Linked DNA regions of Nothobranchius furzeri. The protein of the gene in region 2 purifies or fractionates together with the protein of the main gene of each other region. This does not show direct contact. Links are inferred from orthologs where the notes say so. Each region holds a gene or a part of one and is shown on either strand. Other genes may lie near its edges.

Evidence for each region. Proteins that work in one complex are often made in the same cells at the same time.
Region 1: the proteins of rprd1b (region 2) and polr2g purify together in Homo sapiens (affinity purification with mass spectrometry; 3 studies listed by BioGRID and IntAct, counting the BioPlex papers as one, with this or other methods). This does not show direct contact. The link is inferred for Nothobranchius furzeri from reciprocal best matches to the Homo sapiens genes RPRD1B and POLR2G.
Region 3: the proteins of rprd1b (region 2) and pdrg1 purify together in Homo sapiens (affinity purification with mass spectrometry; 3 studies listed by BioGRID and IntAct, with this or other methods). This does not show direct contact. The link is inferred for Nothobranchius furzeri from reciprocal best matches to the Homo sapiens genes RPRD1B and PDRG1.
Region 4: the proteins of rprd1b (region 2) and rpap2 purify together in Homo sapiens (affinity purification with mass spectrometry; 5 studies listed by BioGRID and IntAct, counting the BioPlex papers as one, with this or other methods). This does not show direct contact. The link is inferred for Nothobranchius furzeri from reciprocal best matches to the Homo sapiens genes RPRD1B and RPAP2.

The regions. Positions count from the first base shown.
Region 1 is NC_091741.1:90,872,821-90,876,807, forward strand, and holds the start of polr2g (DNA-directed RNA polymerase II subunit RPB7), read right to left. Parts: upstream 2,854-3,987; 5' UTR 2,701-2,853; coding exon 2,689-2,700; intron 2,441-2,688; coding exon 2,331-2,440; intron 2,174-2,330; coding exon 2,014-2,173; intron 1,863-2,013; coding exon 1,812-1,862; intron 1,723-1,811; coding exon 1,657-1,722; intron 1,501-1,656; coding exon 1,429-1,500; intron 1-1,428. Other genes in the region: uncharacterized protein si:ch211-175m2.5, read left to right, coding at 3,300-3,353, 3,419-3,586, 3,662-3,761. UniProt on the Homo sapiens protein: Core component of RNA polymerase II (Pol II), a DNA-dependent RNA polymerase which synthesizes mRNA precursors and many functional non-coding RNAs using the four ribonucleoside triphosphates as substrates.
Region 2 is NC_091755.1:32,651,952-32,656,182, reverse strand, and holds the start of rprd1b (regulation of nuclear pre-mRNA domain-containing protein 1B), read right to left. Parts: upstream 2,854-4,231; 5' UTR 2,199-2,853; coding exon 2,048-2,198; intron 1-2,047. UniProt on the Homo sapiens protein: Interacts with phosphorylated C-terminal heptapeptide repeat domain (CTD) of the largest RNA polymerase II subunit POLR2A, and participates in dephosphorylation of the CTD by RPAP2. Transcriptional regulator which enhances expression of CCND1.
Region 3 is NC_091743.1:5,381,247-5,385,570, forward strand, and holds pdrg1 (p53 and DNA damage-regulated protein 1), read left to right. Parts: upstream 1-1,471; 5' UTR 1,472-1,542; coding exon 1,543-1,626; intron 1,627-1,765; exon of another isoform or gene 1,766-1,934; coding exon of another isoform or gene 1,935-1,964; intron 1,965-2,074; coding exon 2,075-2,150; intron 2,151-2,372; coding exon 2,373-2,447; intron 2,448-2,529; coding exon 2,530-2,610; intron 2,611-4,121; coding exon 4,122-4,204; 3' UTR 4,205-4,286; downstream 4,287-4,324. UniProt on the Homo sapiens protein: May play a role in chaperone-mediated protein folding.
Region 4 is NC_091751.1:71,621,062-71,625,153, forward strand, and holds the start of rpap2 (putative RNA polymerase II subunit B1 CTD phosphatase rpap2), read left to right. Parts: upstream 1-1,239; 5' UTR 1,240-1,314; coding exon 1,315-1,372; exon of another isoform or gene 1,373-1,405; intron 1,406-4,092. Other genes in the region: glmna (glomulin, FKBP associated protein a), read right to left, coding at 1,006-1,044.

The sequences.
Region 1 (3,987 bases), on a different chromosome or scaffold from region 2:
GAGTCCGGCTACCGAACCGAGCAGATTTCTGATGACGTCACACCGGTGCGCGAAGGTGCGGGTTCCAACCCACAGGAGAGAAGAGAGAGAGGAGGTAAACAGCGAGTTGATCGACTGAACTGATGTCTTTGAGCAAAAGACGCGGTGATCATGCAGGTGTCTCTTTCTGTTCCGACGCTGCAACACGTAATATTTTTAATTTATTAAGCCTATAATTTATTTTTACTCAGTAATGGATATCATTTAAAATGTAGTGAATTACAATTCTTTTTTAAAAACTTACTCAAGTAAAAGTAAAAGTACAGCTTTTAAAAACGACTTAAAAAGTATAAATATACAAAAAAGCTACTCAATTACAGTAACGTGAGTAAATGTAATTCGTTACTTTCCACCTCTGCCAAGTAGCACCAAAGTTGTCAGCGTGAGTAAACAAACGTACTGCATGCTAGAAATTAAGTCCGGGTTGCAATAAACAGGAGTTTTCCTTTAAGCACATAAGCGTGAATATACAACTACGTGTTGGACTTGGTATGCTAATTAAGTTGGGCTGTGAAGCGCCTCCCAAATTCGCTGTTTATGTTTTTGTTTATTTATTTGGCAGACAAAACTTGGATCGGAGACAACTCGCGTGGGAAATTGCAATGTAGCCATGCGGCGTCTTCTTCTTCTGTTTGTCTGGGAGGCGGAGGCTGCTTTACGGCATCTGGCTGTCGTGCGTGTCGGTGTACTTGAAGAAGGCTGTGTATAATAGTCCATAATATCGATACCACAGGGATGGAATATCTCATTTAGATACCACTTTTAGTATCGATTTATATCTGGGTATCGATTTTTTTGACAACACTAGTAGCCACAGCTGCCCTGGGGTGCTTTGACAGAGGCGAGGCTGCCGAGCACTGGCGCCACCGGTCCCTCCGACCACCACCAGCAGACAATGTGGGTTAAGTGTCTTGCCCAAGGACACAATAACAAACTGAGCGGGGCTCAAACCTGCAGCCTTCCGATTACGGGGCGAGCACTTAACTCCTGTGCCACCGTCGCCCCAAGGGAGCATGAGGCAGCATTTTCACGCATGGATCAGCCACCACGGTCCAGACCTCAACCTCATTGAGAATCTTTGTGATGTGCTGGAGAAGGATTTGTGCAGCGGTCAGACTCTACCACCATCAATGCAAGATATTGGTGAAATATTAATGCAACACTGGATGGCAACAAATCTGGTGACGTTGGAGAAGCTCATCGAAAGAACACCACTGCGAATGTGTGACGTAATCAAAGCTAAAGGTGGTCCAACGAAGTATTGGAATGTGTGACGTTTTTTGGATGGCAGCTTTTCTTTGGGCCAGGCAGTGTGTATAAATAATATGAAGTAATAAGGAAACATGAACTAAACAACTGTAGTGACTTTAAAAAAGAACATAAACTCACAATGTCATTCTTGTCGACTCGTGTTCCCACGATCTTCAGCCGGATCTCATCATCTTGCTGGATTACAATGTCCTATAAAAAGTAAGAAGCATCAACAAAAGTGTGATAGAGCAACATTTACACATTAGGGGGAAAAAAAGCAGAACTTTTTACATGCTGAAGTTGATTTTTATTAATATGACTGTTTAAACAAGCAGCAGTAAAATAGAAAAGTTACAGATATTCAACCTCATCGCCAGTCTTGTAGCAAGGTGGATTAGAATTGGGGTCGAACTCCATTTCTGTGGGGATGGACTGAAAATAAAAATATGATCAAAACAACATTAAATAAATAATGAAATAAAAAGATGATTCTAGTGAAACCGATGCTTTAACAGACTTACATGGCGAGAGATGAAGCAAGACATGGGACCGATTTCTGTGAACAATCCAACCTGCAAGCAAACAGAAAAAGGTTAAAAAAGGCGAGGCGCAAACGTACTGGCATAACAATCCTCAATTTGTTTAGTTTTCACAAGCGTGAAGTTCTGCTAAAGAATTAAGATCTGCTACGAAGAACAATGACTAAAGATGAGTGAGCCATACCTTGTTAACCTGAGTGACCACAGCGTCCACCACCTCGCCCTTAAACGGGCGGAAAACAATGGCCTTGTACTTGACTGGATAGAGGACAAAACCTCTGCCTGGCTGGATGACACCCGCTCCGATGTTGTCGATAGTGGTTACTGCAATGACAAATCCATACCTGGGAAACAGAAAAAACAAAAGAGTTAATCCAACTTTTTAACAAGGCAGCAACACGTTGATCTAGTTATGCCATAGTCAATGTTTCATTAACGCTTTCAGTCGTTGCAAAGCCCAGTTAAAGTTATCATGAACAATAATAAAATGCTGTTACTCACTTGCCAGTACAAGTTCCCTCTACCTCTGTGAAAAGCTTCTGCTTCACGGTGTTAAGTAGATTGGGACCGAAGTACCTGGGGTGGAGAAGGATTTCATGCTCCAAAGAAATCTGTAAAGTGCAACAAAATCCTTCATCTGTAAATTGGTTGTGCACACGTTCGTATTTTAAAAATGCATAAACCAGCCTCTGTAGATTGAGTAATGGATGAATAAAATGTCACGTTGATTAAAAATATGAAAACTAGTCCAGGTTAGAAGAAGAGGGAAAGACTACGACGTTGTTGATAAACGATCCAAATCGAAACATCCATTAAGCCTTCAGCTACCCCCGATTACGAGAACAATGTACATACTCACGTGATAAAACATTTCTTGATAAGTTTAAATTCCACCTTAAAAATATACTTTTAAATACGTCGAAGTGGCTTCTCTTGTTCTTTGTTGAAAGGGAATCATGGACGTCCGGCGTAGAAGAACCTCTTCCGGGTCAAAGAGGATTCTTGAAATTTTGTTGTAAATTGTATTGTAACGGGAAATAAAAAAAATAAAATTATCTTCAGGGATTTTTAAAAACTGTTTATTTAAAAACAATTAACGGAATAAGTAATCCGATTTAAACGAGTTCCACCGTCGGTTCATTTTAATACTGCTTTCTTGTGGCGAGGAAGTATTACTGCAGAGAGGCGTGGAAAACAATAGGCGTGACTGAAAGCCGCTCTGTGATTGGCTGTTTTTTAGTGGACTCTTATCTGACACACAGACGAAGCGAAAACAATTTATTTAGGTGAAAGTAATCCAACTTTAGCACAATCGTCATGTTGTTTAGCGGTCATTGGGACCACACTACAGGTGGTTTGAAGTTTTAAAGAACGAAATAGATTAAAATAAACAATTCTGCTACATCATTAGAAAGAAAATAGGAATTTTGTCTCCGTGGTTAAAATTACTCTCCAAGTCCTCCTTCTGTCATGGCGAGCAACCTCGTTTTCAAGTTGCTTCGTCTTCCTGTCACCTCTAAAATTGTAAGTAGCGAACCGTAGATTTGATTGTGTGTTTTGTTTATCTGACTCTTCGGCTGTCTGTGCAGGCGTGTCTCCGGTCGGGTCGCTTGTTTCGGGGTAAGGTGGCTGCAGTGGCGGCTGGGACCAGACCGTCCTCCGGCACCCTTCCGGAGAAGATCAGCCGCTATCCCATTCCTTACAAGAAGGACCTGCCTTATGATATAGTTGAGCTCATGGAGGAAGTGGAGTCAAAGGTTTTAAATTAAAACCAGCCTTTAGGTCTCGCGATCACACGCCTTTATCATTAATCTGCTCATATTTGTGCACAGGGAGGCTTCCTGCCAAATGTCTTCAAAGCCCTCTCCCACAGACCAGCTGAGTTCAGAGCCTTCTTCGCTTACTACAATGAACTGATGAACAAGGACACAGGTTGGTTTTTTCTGATGTAGTGGCCTCAGTTCAGATAAATACAGACACACGATGCAGTGTTTAGAATAAAAAGCAACCCGTTCTTCAGCACCTTCAACCCTCCCAACGTGTCCAAGCCAGGGTTCAGTGAACTAAACACTTCGTTCACTTCTTATTTGTGTTGCAAATAAGGATGTTTGTCCTGTGTTATGACTCAACAGGACTAGAGGATAACCTTTTGTAGAAG
Region 2 (4,231 bases):
CTGGGTGAAACCCTGCAGTGAATTAAATCATCTCAGAGGAGTAAATGTGTGTGGGGTGTACATAATAACGTAAATTCAGCTTTAATAATTTTCATTCTTTACAAAATCTGTTGATTTTAGAAGCATAAACTCATTCGCTGCCAGCTGTTTCCTGATCGCCAACGGCCTTCGCTGCCAGCGTTTCTCACCGTTTTTACAGTTTTTTTAAGAGTCACAGAACGTTGTGCGCTAGGATGATGTCGACGCCAAAACAACCAAAACTAAGAGTAGACTCGCCTCTTACATCAGGAAGAATCCGCGTGTTTTGAGCGTTATCCATTCTTTCATAATCCGTTATCGAATTGTGATCGGCAGACGCTTTTCCGGTTCGCGCCTCACTTTTTTACAGGAACGGCCCAAAACGATCTCCTAATACATGGATGTTCTGCTTCCTGATCACATGACGTGTGACGTATGCAGATGAAGATCGGCGTCAGGGCTGAGATGTTTGTTCTCTCAGCACGGGGGCTCGTTCCGAAGCTCAAACTAAAAAAATGCAAATGACGACTTTAGTCGTCAATGGCAGTGAATGAGTTTATGTCAGTATATCGGTATCGGCAAATATCGGTTGTCGGCTATAACAGTGATCTTAATATCGGTATCGGCCCTAAAATTTCATAGCGGCGCCGGTGCATCACTACTTCTCTTCATCTAGTTTACTGCAACTTGTTTATGACTGTGTTACAGTGAATCTGCAAGAAGAAACTATTTGACTCATTAACTGCCACTGACGACAAAAGTGGTCATTTGCATTTTTTTACTGTGTGGGCGTCGGATCGAGTTCCTGCACCGTGAGAACAAACATCCCAGCTCTAAAGCCGATCTTCATCCATGTACATTATATGTCACGTGATCAGGAAGCAGAAAACCCATGTGATAGGAGATCGTTTTGGGCCGCTGTTGTAAAAAAAAGTGAGCGAACCAGAAAAGTTTTTGCCGATCACAATTCGACAACGGATTATGAAAGAACGGATAACGCTAGAAACACGCGGATTCTTCCTGATGTAAGAGGTGAGTCTACTCTTTCTTCTGGTAGTGTTGGTGTTGACATCATCATAGAGCTCTATGTTCTGTGACTCTTAAAAAATAAACAGTGAAAACGCTGAAAAACGTTGGCAGCGAAGGGCTTTTCTGATCAGAAAATGACTGGCCGTTAAGGAGTTAAAAAGATGAAAGAAAATACATTTATTTGATGTTGATATTGATAGTGTCACTAACTTAAAAGTGACATTTCAAGACTCTTAACTCATCATCATTGCAACCCAGCTCTCACAGCTGATGCACATTCATTCATCCATCCGTTGTCTTCCACGTACCCGGAGACGGGTCGTGGGGGCAGTAACCTAAGCAGAAATGCCCAGAATTCCCTCTCCCCAGCCACTTGGGCCAGCTCTTCCAGGGGAATTCTAGGGCGTTCCCTGGCCAGCCGACAGACAATAGTCCCTCCAACGTGTCCTGGGTCTTCCTTTGAGTCTCTTCCCGGTTGGACGTGGCCAGAAAACCTCACCAGGGAGGCGTCCAGGAGGCATCCTGACCAGATGCCCGAGCCACATCAATTGGTTCCTCTCGATGTGGAGGAGCAGCAGGTCTACTCCAAGCCCCTCCCGGATGACCGAGCTTCTCACCTAGGGAGAGCCCAGCCACTCTGCAGAGAAAACTAAATTTGGCCGCTTGTATCTGCAACTTCACTCTTTCGGTCACTACCAAAAGCTTGTGACCACAAATGAGGATTGGAAAGTAGATCGACCGGTAAATCAAGAGCTTACTCAAAAACAAAACATGGATACTGATACTACTTGTACGTCCTGAATAATATACCGCATGGATGGAGTTATTTTCTATGCTTTCTCTTCCATGTTTGATGTAAACATTGGAAGAATTGAAAAGCATCTGCTTATTAATACGTTTGTTAAAATCTGCTTGAAATATGTGACTCCAGCTCATCCTACAACAGCTTTAACTTCATTCAGGGCTATGATCGGACAAGGATCCTGTTGTTATATCTCACCTTTTTTGAGTTCTCGGTGCCAGACTTTGACGATGAGAGCCGAGTGTTTGCGGTGGTGGATGATCCACAGAGACAGAGTCTGGACGCTCTGCTGAGAGCTGCTCAGCTCCGACAGCTTCTTCTCCAAAGCAGATTCCGAAAAGGACGACATGCCAACTGGTTCTAGAGTGTCTAATTCCACTAAAACTGACCCCCACTGGCTCTAAAGCAACCGAGCTCCGAGCTATTTTGGAGAAACTCGCCCAGTCATCAAAACTCAAGTTGTGTCGCTAAACTCGTAGACTTACAGCATTGGACAGCTTTCTACTGCCGGTTACAGATATATATATCTAACGGTAGGAAAGCACTTAAGGAACTAAAGAGCTAACCAATACTTGCTGAAGATGCTTCAATAGCGTAGCTGCTGAATCTTTGTTGAATGCTGTTTGTTTACAGCGATTGCTAACGTTAGCTAGGCGAGCTAAGCAGCCATCTGCAGAACAGTGCAGCCCTGGAGCTCCTCTTCTCTTAACTACGTAAAACAAACACAAAAATCCACAATATTCCTTTTTGAGGTGTTCCAAGCGATGATGTATAAAAGACAATAGCAAAAAATAATTTAAAAAACAACTCACAAACTAAGTTTCTCGCCCTAAATCATGAAAAAAATGCCTCGAAAAATGGCAGCTTGCACTTTCACCTCGACATGTGCGTCGCAGAGAAATGACGTGACAGAACCCGCGCATTATCGAACTGGCAAAACAAAGGCAAAATACACTGTAAAATACTCTAAACACAAAATTGCAAACTCTTATGAACACACAACTCTTTTTACAGAGTTGAATACGTTTCTAATCATTCTATATTTGTTTGCTCACCCAATTTATTTGGCTTAAAACATAATTAAAATTGTATTCATGTAAAGTGTTTACCAAAATGGCTGTCTGGACTTTTTAATTGACTTTTTATGAAGGAGGAGGGCTGTTAATTTCCCACCAGTGGCGAAAAGCTGGAACTGCACACTGCACAAGTATTCTGTTATCAATTTAGAAAAGGAGATGGGGGATTTGGCGCTTCCTAGTGGCATAATGCTGGTGCTGCACTCTTGTTCTGTTAACTATTGAGAATAATGGGGAGATTGAGATTTGGCGCCCCAAGTGGCAACTAACGTAAACTACACCATTGTTCTGTTAACATTTTAGGTTCATGTGTGATGATGCAGTCATTACAATTGCCACATTAGTAAATTAAAATAAATTTAGTACATTTTAAAAATAAAACTTGACTTGCATTGTCAGAAAAATAATAGTAAAAACACAATTCCTGCAACTCTGTAAGCAAACGATTCCATTAGATTTGGTCTTTTAGTCCACTTTAAATCATTAAATAAAATTAATAATTAGATAATCGCTTGTAGCTTGTGTGTATAATAATTTGTCAGTTGCTCACAATGAAAGAAAATGACTGTAAAACATAAACTACAAATCTAGCATACACTGAACTACATGCATTTATTATAACTTGCCTTGTGAAAGAGACAAATGTAATCCAAGTTTGGATGCTCTTCTTGCAGTTTAAGTACATCTTAATAAATAATTTTCTAAATGGCAGCATCACCTTTTTACAAAGCTGCTGTTTGTCTTACCTCGGCTGCTTTTGGTTTCCCAGCTGAACAAACAGTAACTGTGTGTTTATCTTACCAATCACCAGACATTTGTTCTGACGGAAACCAAAACTCAAATTTTAGCCCAGATCTTTGAGTTAAAACAAACTAATTTTCATGATCATTTGCCTTCTTTTTACTGTGGCTGATAAAATACACACTATTCCATTCAAAACAATGGGTTTGGGATCTGCACACATGGACCTTCAGTCAAATATCAGTGCAAAAGATGTGTATTATCATTTGAGGTTCAAATATCAACCAAAATGCAAACCATGGTGCACCTGTACAGATTTTTTTTCAATAGGCAGCAAACTAGATGGAAAACAAATGTAGTTTTCATCTGGAGTGAGATCTCTGTTATAACCAAAAAAATCAACAAGACCAAAACAAATCAGATCCAGAACTAAGCTCATTGTTTACAGTAAATTGAGTTCAGTTGTGACTGCAATTAAATAAAAAAGATGATAAAATTCCAGTCAGTCATGTTTACCTAATATATATATATATATATATATATATATATATATATATATATATAT
Region 3 (4,324 bases), on a different chromosome or scaffold from region 2:
TTATGAAGTTCTGACTAGCCTGGTGCGTGGAGCTGGGGTGTCATTACAGTGTCCTCAGATGAAAAAGCTTGACTTTGATCATTTTTCATATACTGGCCCACCTCTGTTTATTACACTTAAACACACTAAATCATTGGCCCAGTTTTAATATTTACATGAGTAGTCTTAAACTCAAACTTCAAACCATTAAAAGGTTCCCAAACCCTCAAGCATTTCATCTATAAGTGTTACTGTAGCCTAACCTGGTGAGCCAGGCCCATGGGGGACCAGCTGAGGCTCCTGTGGAGCGAGGCTATACCCACAAGCTGGGCTCAGTCTCCTCCACCGGATGTGTACCGGGAAAGTTTGGCTCCAAAAGAAAAGTTATCGCTTCCAAATCAGAACTTATGCTCTTTAAATCAAGAACATTTAAACTGTCACAAGTATAAAAAGTACTTATTTGAGTGTTGCTGCGTTTGAATGAGGAAAATGTGGAAAATTGAAAGTCTGAAAACTGTTTCTGGAATATTTGGGTCCATTTTCAAACCTGGTCAGTTCATTACACCCGTGACCACCGTGCGTGTAATGTTGCTTTTAAGTCCTGTCCATCATGAAACTTGGTTTAAAGGCGTTAATGCTGAGTCCACTCTTATTTTATGTGACAATAACAGATGTTTCTGGAAGGGATTCAGCTGAAGTTTCAGGAACGATGGACTTTTTTCTATTGGTCCAAGGAAAATGATTTGTAATTTGTTTGTTTTGCACAGTAACTTGTACATTTTGACTATAATACACAAAGGTGTGGACTCGAGTCACATGACTTGGACTCGAGTCAGACTTGAGTCATTATTTGAATGACTTCTGACTTGACTTGATAAAATCTATAAAGACTTATGACTTGACTGGACTTGAACACCAGTGACTTGTGACTTGAATCGGCTTGCATCTGTTGACTTGATGATGACTTGAGAATGTTTGATATTTTGTCACAGAAGTGGCACGACATGGACAAAAATCATAAATCATTCTTGGTTCTGGGTTTGATTTACTGCTGAATGCAGCAGCGCTTTGTTTATAACCAGTCTCAGTTTCTGCTTGTTTGAGCAAAAAAAAAGAAGCTTTAAGAAGGTTTTTTTCTGGAATTAATTTATTATCATCGTCATTAAATAGAAGTTGGACAGATGGCTTGATTATCACTTGAAAATTCAAAGTTAAGGACTTGACTTGGACTTGGTTGTCTTTGACTTGGATTTGACTTTAGACTTGAATGGAAAGACTTGTGACTTACTTATGACTTGCAAAGCAGTGACTTGGTCACACCTGCTATACATGAAGAATTTGAGCCCACTTGGACATGCTTTTGAAAATGTTTTTCCTATTTATTTAGTTTATGATGAGAATATTTACAAAAATACAGAAAAACATTTGTATGTGGAGTATGTACAGTCTATGGTCACACCTCTGAAAATACATTTGTGAAAAGCTTCGCGGCGGATGCGGAGGTGACCTCTCTCCAGCAGGGGGCGGTAGTCCACCGTTAGCCCAGAAGAAGAAGACTCAAAGATGGACGACGCTTCTCTGCGTGTTTTGGAGCGCTTGACTGAAGTGGAAGAGGCGGCTGAGGATGTTCTCACCGCCAAACAACAGGTAAACACATCCAGACCCACCGTGGCCAGGCTGGTTCTGTGAGACCCGTAGCGGGTTACAGCTGCTAGCTTCATGCTAACAAGTGTGAGTGGAAGTGACGTACGCGGTGAGACCCGTAGCGGGTTACAGCTGCTAGCTTCATGCTAACAAGTGTGAGTGGATGTGACGTACGCGGTTTTCAGACGCAGTTCTGTGCGTTAGCAGCTTTATGCATGAGGATTTTAGCGGTTGGAGCCAAGAGAGCTAAGTTCTGGTGTTGGTTCAACACTTCATTTACCCGTCACCACACCGATGTTGTCTAGAGTCAAATGTCCTTCTGTAGCTGGTCCAGTCAGGTGGTGCGTTCATGATATCTGAAGAAAACTGTTGTTCTAAAACCACACACACACGCACGGATATCCCAGTTAATAATGTCCTCCCTTAAAACAAACGTGTGTGTGTGTTTCAGATTGTTGACCTGGACATGAAGAGAAACTTCAACAGAGAGGCGCTGAACGCACTGAAACATGAGATGTCGGATAAAGGTTTGTGATCCATCAGCACTCAGGCCACCAGAACACCACAGAGGAACCCTTGTAGCTACAACAACCAAACGTTCCCATAAAGCTGGAACATCCGTCTGTTATTATTGCCTAAAGGAACACGTGTAATCTGTAAATAATCTCAGGCTAATTATGAAACTCGTGGTTGTTTATTGGTGACCCTGGTGATGAAGGAGTAATGGCCGCCTCTGCTGCCGTCCACAGAAAAAGTCAAGGTTTGCTTTGGAAACATGTTCATCAAGTTCTCCAAGTCTAAAACGACGCAGATGATCCGGAAAGGTGATCCTTTATCGTTTACAAGTTAGATCTTCCGTTTTTAACACGAGTCGAATTTAGTCTGAGCCGTTTCTCCAACCTGCAGACCAAGAGCAGCTGGACAAGGAAATAAACCACCTTCGCAAAGAGCTGAGAACTAAAGTCGGTCGTCTCAACGAGATCGAAGGTATGTGTGTTGTGACACATCAGCGGTTCCATCCACCACACTAATGATTCAAGCACCGGTACTACAGACCCTTGTTCACCTCATAGATCCTCACGAAACAGCAGTCTCCGGATCAGAATGGACCTGGAACCATTTCTTCATTTAACATTTATTTTATGGGCACTAAATGAAAGCTAAAGCTTTTTAAAGAGTTTATTATTCTGGTTATTATAATAATAATGATAATAAATGTGACCATTAATTTGGTTGCAGTCTCTCGGACACTTCCTAAACGTTTAGTGTGCTCATTTAGAAAATATTTATCGTTTGTTAGAAAAGCAACACTGGAAACTAATCCTCCAGCTTCATATTGTTTTAATGAGAGGTCCATTTTCATAGCAGGACATTGTTGTTCGTGAACTGCATCCTAGTGAGCACACTTCTCTTCATTATGAGGCACAAACAGTAAGAAACTCTGACTGCAAAGAAAATAATCAGGAACTCGATGAAAAAGCACCGACACTGGGATCCTGGTGTTGGAGGTCTAGACTCGTCAGACCAGGCAACGTTTTCCGGTCCCTTCTGGTGATGCTGTGGGGATTTGAGGCCCAGGTTCCTGTTGTTGGCTGACAGCTGGTGTGGTCTTCTGCTGCTGGAGTCCATCTGGTGCTGGGTTAGGGTTGAGTGTCTGTTTCAGAACTAAAGGTTCTAGTTCAGTGAGCTGTCGGCCCAAAGCACCAGCTGTCTCCCAACAGGTGTTGTGAATCCTTCCGTGTGATAAGTTGTTGGATCTGAGTGGAGAAAGAGTTAGTAGTGATGACCCGTTTTATCACAAAACGCCGCTCTGACACATTTTTCACGCGTTCTTTGGCTTACCGTAACAGTTTTTGTCTTCTGAAACATTCAGGCGGCTTCTGAAAGAGAAGCGTCACAATAATAAATTATTTTCAGTTCCTGCAAGAAGTGGACGGCTCAGCCTCTCCGTCTCACACTCAGACAACGACAGACGACCACAGCTGTAAATAGAAATGACCGTGGTCGGGCCACGAAAAGGACAAAACCCTGGAAAAACGACCAAGTTCCCCGTGTGGTCAGCTCAGTCACTGGGCTCCTGCAGCCCACACACCCAACCCCCCAACTGGGCTCGCCCCGGACCTGTACAATAGTAGACACAACAGATCCCGGGTCAGTCAGGAACGCTGGAAAGGAGATCAGATTTGAGGATCACATGATCACGGTTTTATTTATTTCAGACTTTCACTCCACAGGGGCGTGTGCTGAGCCCCACCTGCACGAACCACTCGTGTGGCTGTTCTGCTAGCACCTGCACCTGAAGCTTATCAGTGATGTTGGTGTTGTTGGTTTGATCTCACACGACGAGCAGCTGGCGTGAGTGATGGCGGTGCCGGAGCTGATGGGTGTTTGGAAAACATTTATTTGTTGTTTGAGTTGATCCTTTGAAGCACCTCATGTTTGTCTGTAGAGTATTTGTTGTTTGTGATATTTTTTCTTTGTTGTTTGCTTGCTTTCAGGAAATCCTGAGCTGAGAGGTTATAATCTGTCTCCTCTATCCTCTGATGAGATGAAAGCTATCACCAGCCTTCTGAAGAGATGAGCAGCTAACTGCTGAGGACGAAAACGCCGACGTGTTAAACCCAGTTTCTGTACAGCTCTGCTCAATAAATCCAGGACAGTAACTGATGTTGTTGAAGCTGAACAAAAATGTTATAGAAAT
Region 4 (4,092 bases), on a different chromosome or scaffold from region 2:
AGCAACATGCTACATCTACTGCTAAGTAAAGTCATGCTGCCCGCCCGGTGACCTTTTGATTCGGAATGTTCTTCCTTAAAGAAGGGTTTGATCTGAGGGCCAAGGCGCCAACCCTAACCCGACGGAACAAAGCAAAACACACGTGGGCCAGAACATAGAACTCACAGGATCTGAAAACCTCAGCAAAGGTAACCTTCTGGTGCTCTGGTCCATGACCTCCAGCATGCACCTGAGCGCTTCGGCGCTGAGTGACGCAGAGAAAAAGGGAGGGCCGTCTTTGTCTGAGGTGGAGGAGCTCAAACCACCTGTGTCTTGTTCCTGAGTGATGGTAGCACGCTGGAGACTGGAGTAGAACCAGCAACGCTACAGATCTCCCTCATCTCGCCCGATTCGGGTGTCGTCGCTTGGTTGCTGTTGTTTGGTAACTTGTATCTCAGATTTTGGTTTGTGTCACTGAACGCTGCACTGGGGCTCCCTGGGCCATTTAGCACAGCGATACTAAAGCTGCACATAGCCATGACTGAGAGCATCCTATCACCCAGCATGACGGTGTGGTATGGCAGCTGCATCGTCCAGAACAAAAAAGACCTGGCCAGGGTGGTGAAAACTGCTCAGTGGATCGTGGGGGGCCCACTACCAGATCTGGACTCTGGAGTATATACCATCCGACTACAAAGGAAGGCTAACCGTATCGCTGCTGATCCCTTCCATCCAGGTCACAAACTGTTGATGCCGCCACCATCGAGGAAGCGGTACAGGAATATCAAGGCCACAACCACCAGGCTGAGGAACAGCTTCTTCCCTAGAGCTGTTAAAGCCACGTGGTGGTGGTGAGGGACAATCTGAACATCAGTGGACAGGTAGGTGGACACACCAGACTCCACTGCCCTGCGTAGCTCGCGCCACTAAGTCACGAGTCAGATGGGTGGAGGGACAGAAACAGCCTCTGGGGCTTTGAGACGCCGGTGTGCAGCAGGAGGGATGACAGGACAACATGAGACTCACACATCTCTGGACCACATCACTGAGCTGCTCCAGAGCCATCGCTGCTGTCCTCGGATCAGCCGGAAACAGAGAGGCACTTCCGTTTGAAACAAGCTAGGTCCGCGCGAGGCCACCGCGAGCCGGAGCTTCAGTCGGAGACGCGAACAGAGCGGGAAGCTTCTGGAATCACAGCAGATAAAAACATCACACAAACCTTTCCTTCATGACCCAAACAAACCACATTTACATCTCCGATGCAGCGCGCCTTCCGGTTTGACCCCCTCAGCTACCGTAGAAACGTCACAGGTCAAAGGTGAACACAGAAGAAACATGGAGCTGGTGGAGAGCAGGAGGAGGAGAGGAGGCTCCACTAAAACCTCCAGGAAAGGTTGGTTTTTAATCCCAATCCAGAGTTTACCGGAAACAGGACAACGTTTTCACCCTCGTTACGTCCGTTCCGTGTTGATTTTCCGGTCCGGTTCGACCCAGCAGTGGAGCTTGTTCCCGTTCCGCTTTCAGCGGGAAGGTGGAACAGACTCGTTCTCTGTAGAAAAGAACCGAAACAAACCTGTCGCGGATCAGAGCTGCTCCTTCTGTAGTTCATCACCAGGTCCTTCTATAGTTCATCACCAGGTCCTTCTGTAGTTCATCACCCGGTCCTTCTGTAGTTCATCACCCGGTCCTTCTGTAGTTCATCACCCGGTCCTTCTGTAGTTCATCACCAGGTCCTTCTGTAGTTCATCACCAGGTCCAGGTCCTTCTGTAGTTCATCACCACGTCCAGGTCCTTCTGTAGTTCATCACCAGGTCCAGGTCCTTCTGTAGTTCATCACCAGGTCCAGGTCCTTCAGTAGTTCATCACCAGGTCCTTCTGTAGTTCATCACCAGGTCCTTCTGTAGTTCATCACCTGGTCCTTCTGTAGTTCATCACCTGGTCCTTCTGTAGTTCATCACCAGGTCCTTCTGTAGTTCATCACCCGGTCCTTCTGTAGTTCATCACCAGGTCCTTCTGTAGTTCATCACCAGGTCCTTCTGTAGTTCATCACCAGGTCCAGGTCCTTCTGTAGTTCATCACCAGGTCCTTCTGTAGTTCATCACCAGGTCCTTCTGTAGTTCATCACCAGGTCCTTCTGTAGTTCATCACCAGGTCCTTCTGTAGTTCATCACCAGGTCCAGGTCCTTCTGTAGTTCATCACCAGGTCCTTCTGTAGTTCATCACCAGGTCCTTCTGTAGTTCATCACCCGGTCCTTCTGTAGTTCATCACCCGGTCCTTCTGTAGTTCATCACCAGGTCCTTCTGTAGTTCCTCACCCAGTTCTTCTGTAGTTCATCACCAGGTCCAGGTCCTTCTGTAGTTCATCACCAGGTCCAGGTCCTTCTGTAGTTCATCACCAGGTCCTTCTGTAGTTCATCACCAGGTCCTTCTGTAGTTCATCACCTGGTCCTTCTGTAGTTCATCACCTGGTCCTTCTGTAGTTCATCACCAGGTCCTTCTGTAGTTCATCACCCGGTCCTTCTGTAGTTCATCACCAGGTCCTTCTGTAGTTCATCACCAGGTCCTTCTGTAGTTCATCACCAGGTCCAGGTCCTTCTGTAGTTCATCACCAGGTCCTTCTGTAGTTCATCACCAGGTCCTTTTGTAGTTCATCACCTGGTCCTTCTGTAGTTCATCACCAGGTCCTTCTGTAGTTCATCACCCGGTCCTTCTGTAGTTCATCACCAGGTCCTTCTGTAGTTCATCACCAGGTCCAGGTCCTTCTGTAGTTCATCACCAGGTCCTTCTGTAGTTCATCACCCGGTCCTTCTGTAGTTCATCACCAGGTCCTTCTGTAGTTCATCATCAGGTCATTCTGTAGTTCATCACCTGGTCCTTCTGTAGTTCATCACCAGGTCCTTCTGTAGTTCATCACCTGGTCCTTCTGTAGTTCATCACCAGGTCCAGGTCCTTCTGTAGTTCATCACCTGGTCCTTCTGTAGTTCATCACCAGGTCCAGGTCCTTCTGTAGTTCATCACCAGGTCCAGGTCCTTCTGTAGTTCATCACCAGGTCCAGGTCCTTCTGTAGTTCATCACCCGGTCCTTCTGTAGTTCATCACCCGGTCCTTCTGTAGTTCATCACCAGGTCCTTCTGTAGTTCATCACCCGGTCCTTCTGTAGTTCATCACCAGGTCCAGGTCCTTCTGTAGTTCATCACCAGGTCCAGGTCCTTCTGTAGTTCATCACCAGGTCCTTCTGTAGTTCATCACCAGGTCCTTCTGTAGTTCATCACCTGGTCCTTCTGTAGTTCATCACCTGGTCCTTCTGTAGTTCATCACCAGGTCCAGGTCCTTCTGTAGTTCATCACCTGGTCCTTCTGTAGTTCATCACCTGGTCCTTCTGTAGTTCATCACCAGGTCCTTCTGTAGTTCATCACCTGGTCCTTCTGTAGTTCATCACCAGGTCCTTCTGTAGTTCATCACCTGGTCCTTCTGTAGTTCATCACCAGGTCCAGGTCCTTCTGTAGTTCATCACCTGGTCCTTCTGTAGTTCATCACCCGGTCCTTCTGTAGTTCATCACCCGGTCCTTCTGTAGTTCATCACCCGGTCCTTCTGTAGTTCATCACCAGGTCCTTCTGTAGTTCATCACCCGGTCCTTCTGTAGTTCATCACCAGGTCCAGGTCCTTCTGTAGTTCATCACCTGGTCCTTCTGTAGTTCATCACCAGGTCCAGGTCCTTCTGTAGTTCATCACCAGGTCCAGGTCCTTCTGTAGTTCATCACCAGGTCCAGGTCCTTCTGTAGTTCATCACCCGGTCCTTCTGTAGTTCATCACCCGGTCCTTCTGTAGTTCATCACCAGGTCCTTCTGTAGTTCATCACCCGGTCCTTCTGTAGTTCATCACCAGGTCCAGGTCCTTCTGTAGTTCATCACCAGGTCCAGGTCCTTCTGTAGTTCATCACCAGGTCCTTCTGTAGTTCATCACCAGGTCCTTCTGTAGTTCATCACCTGGTCCTTCTGTAGTTCATCACCTGGTCCTTCTGTAGTTCATCACCAGGTCCAGGTCCTTCTGTAGTTCATCACCTGGTCCTTCTGTAGTTCATCACCTGGTCCTTCTGTAGTTCATCACCAGGT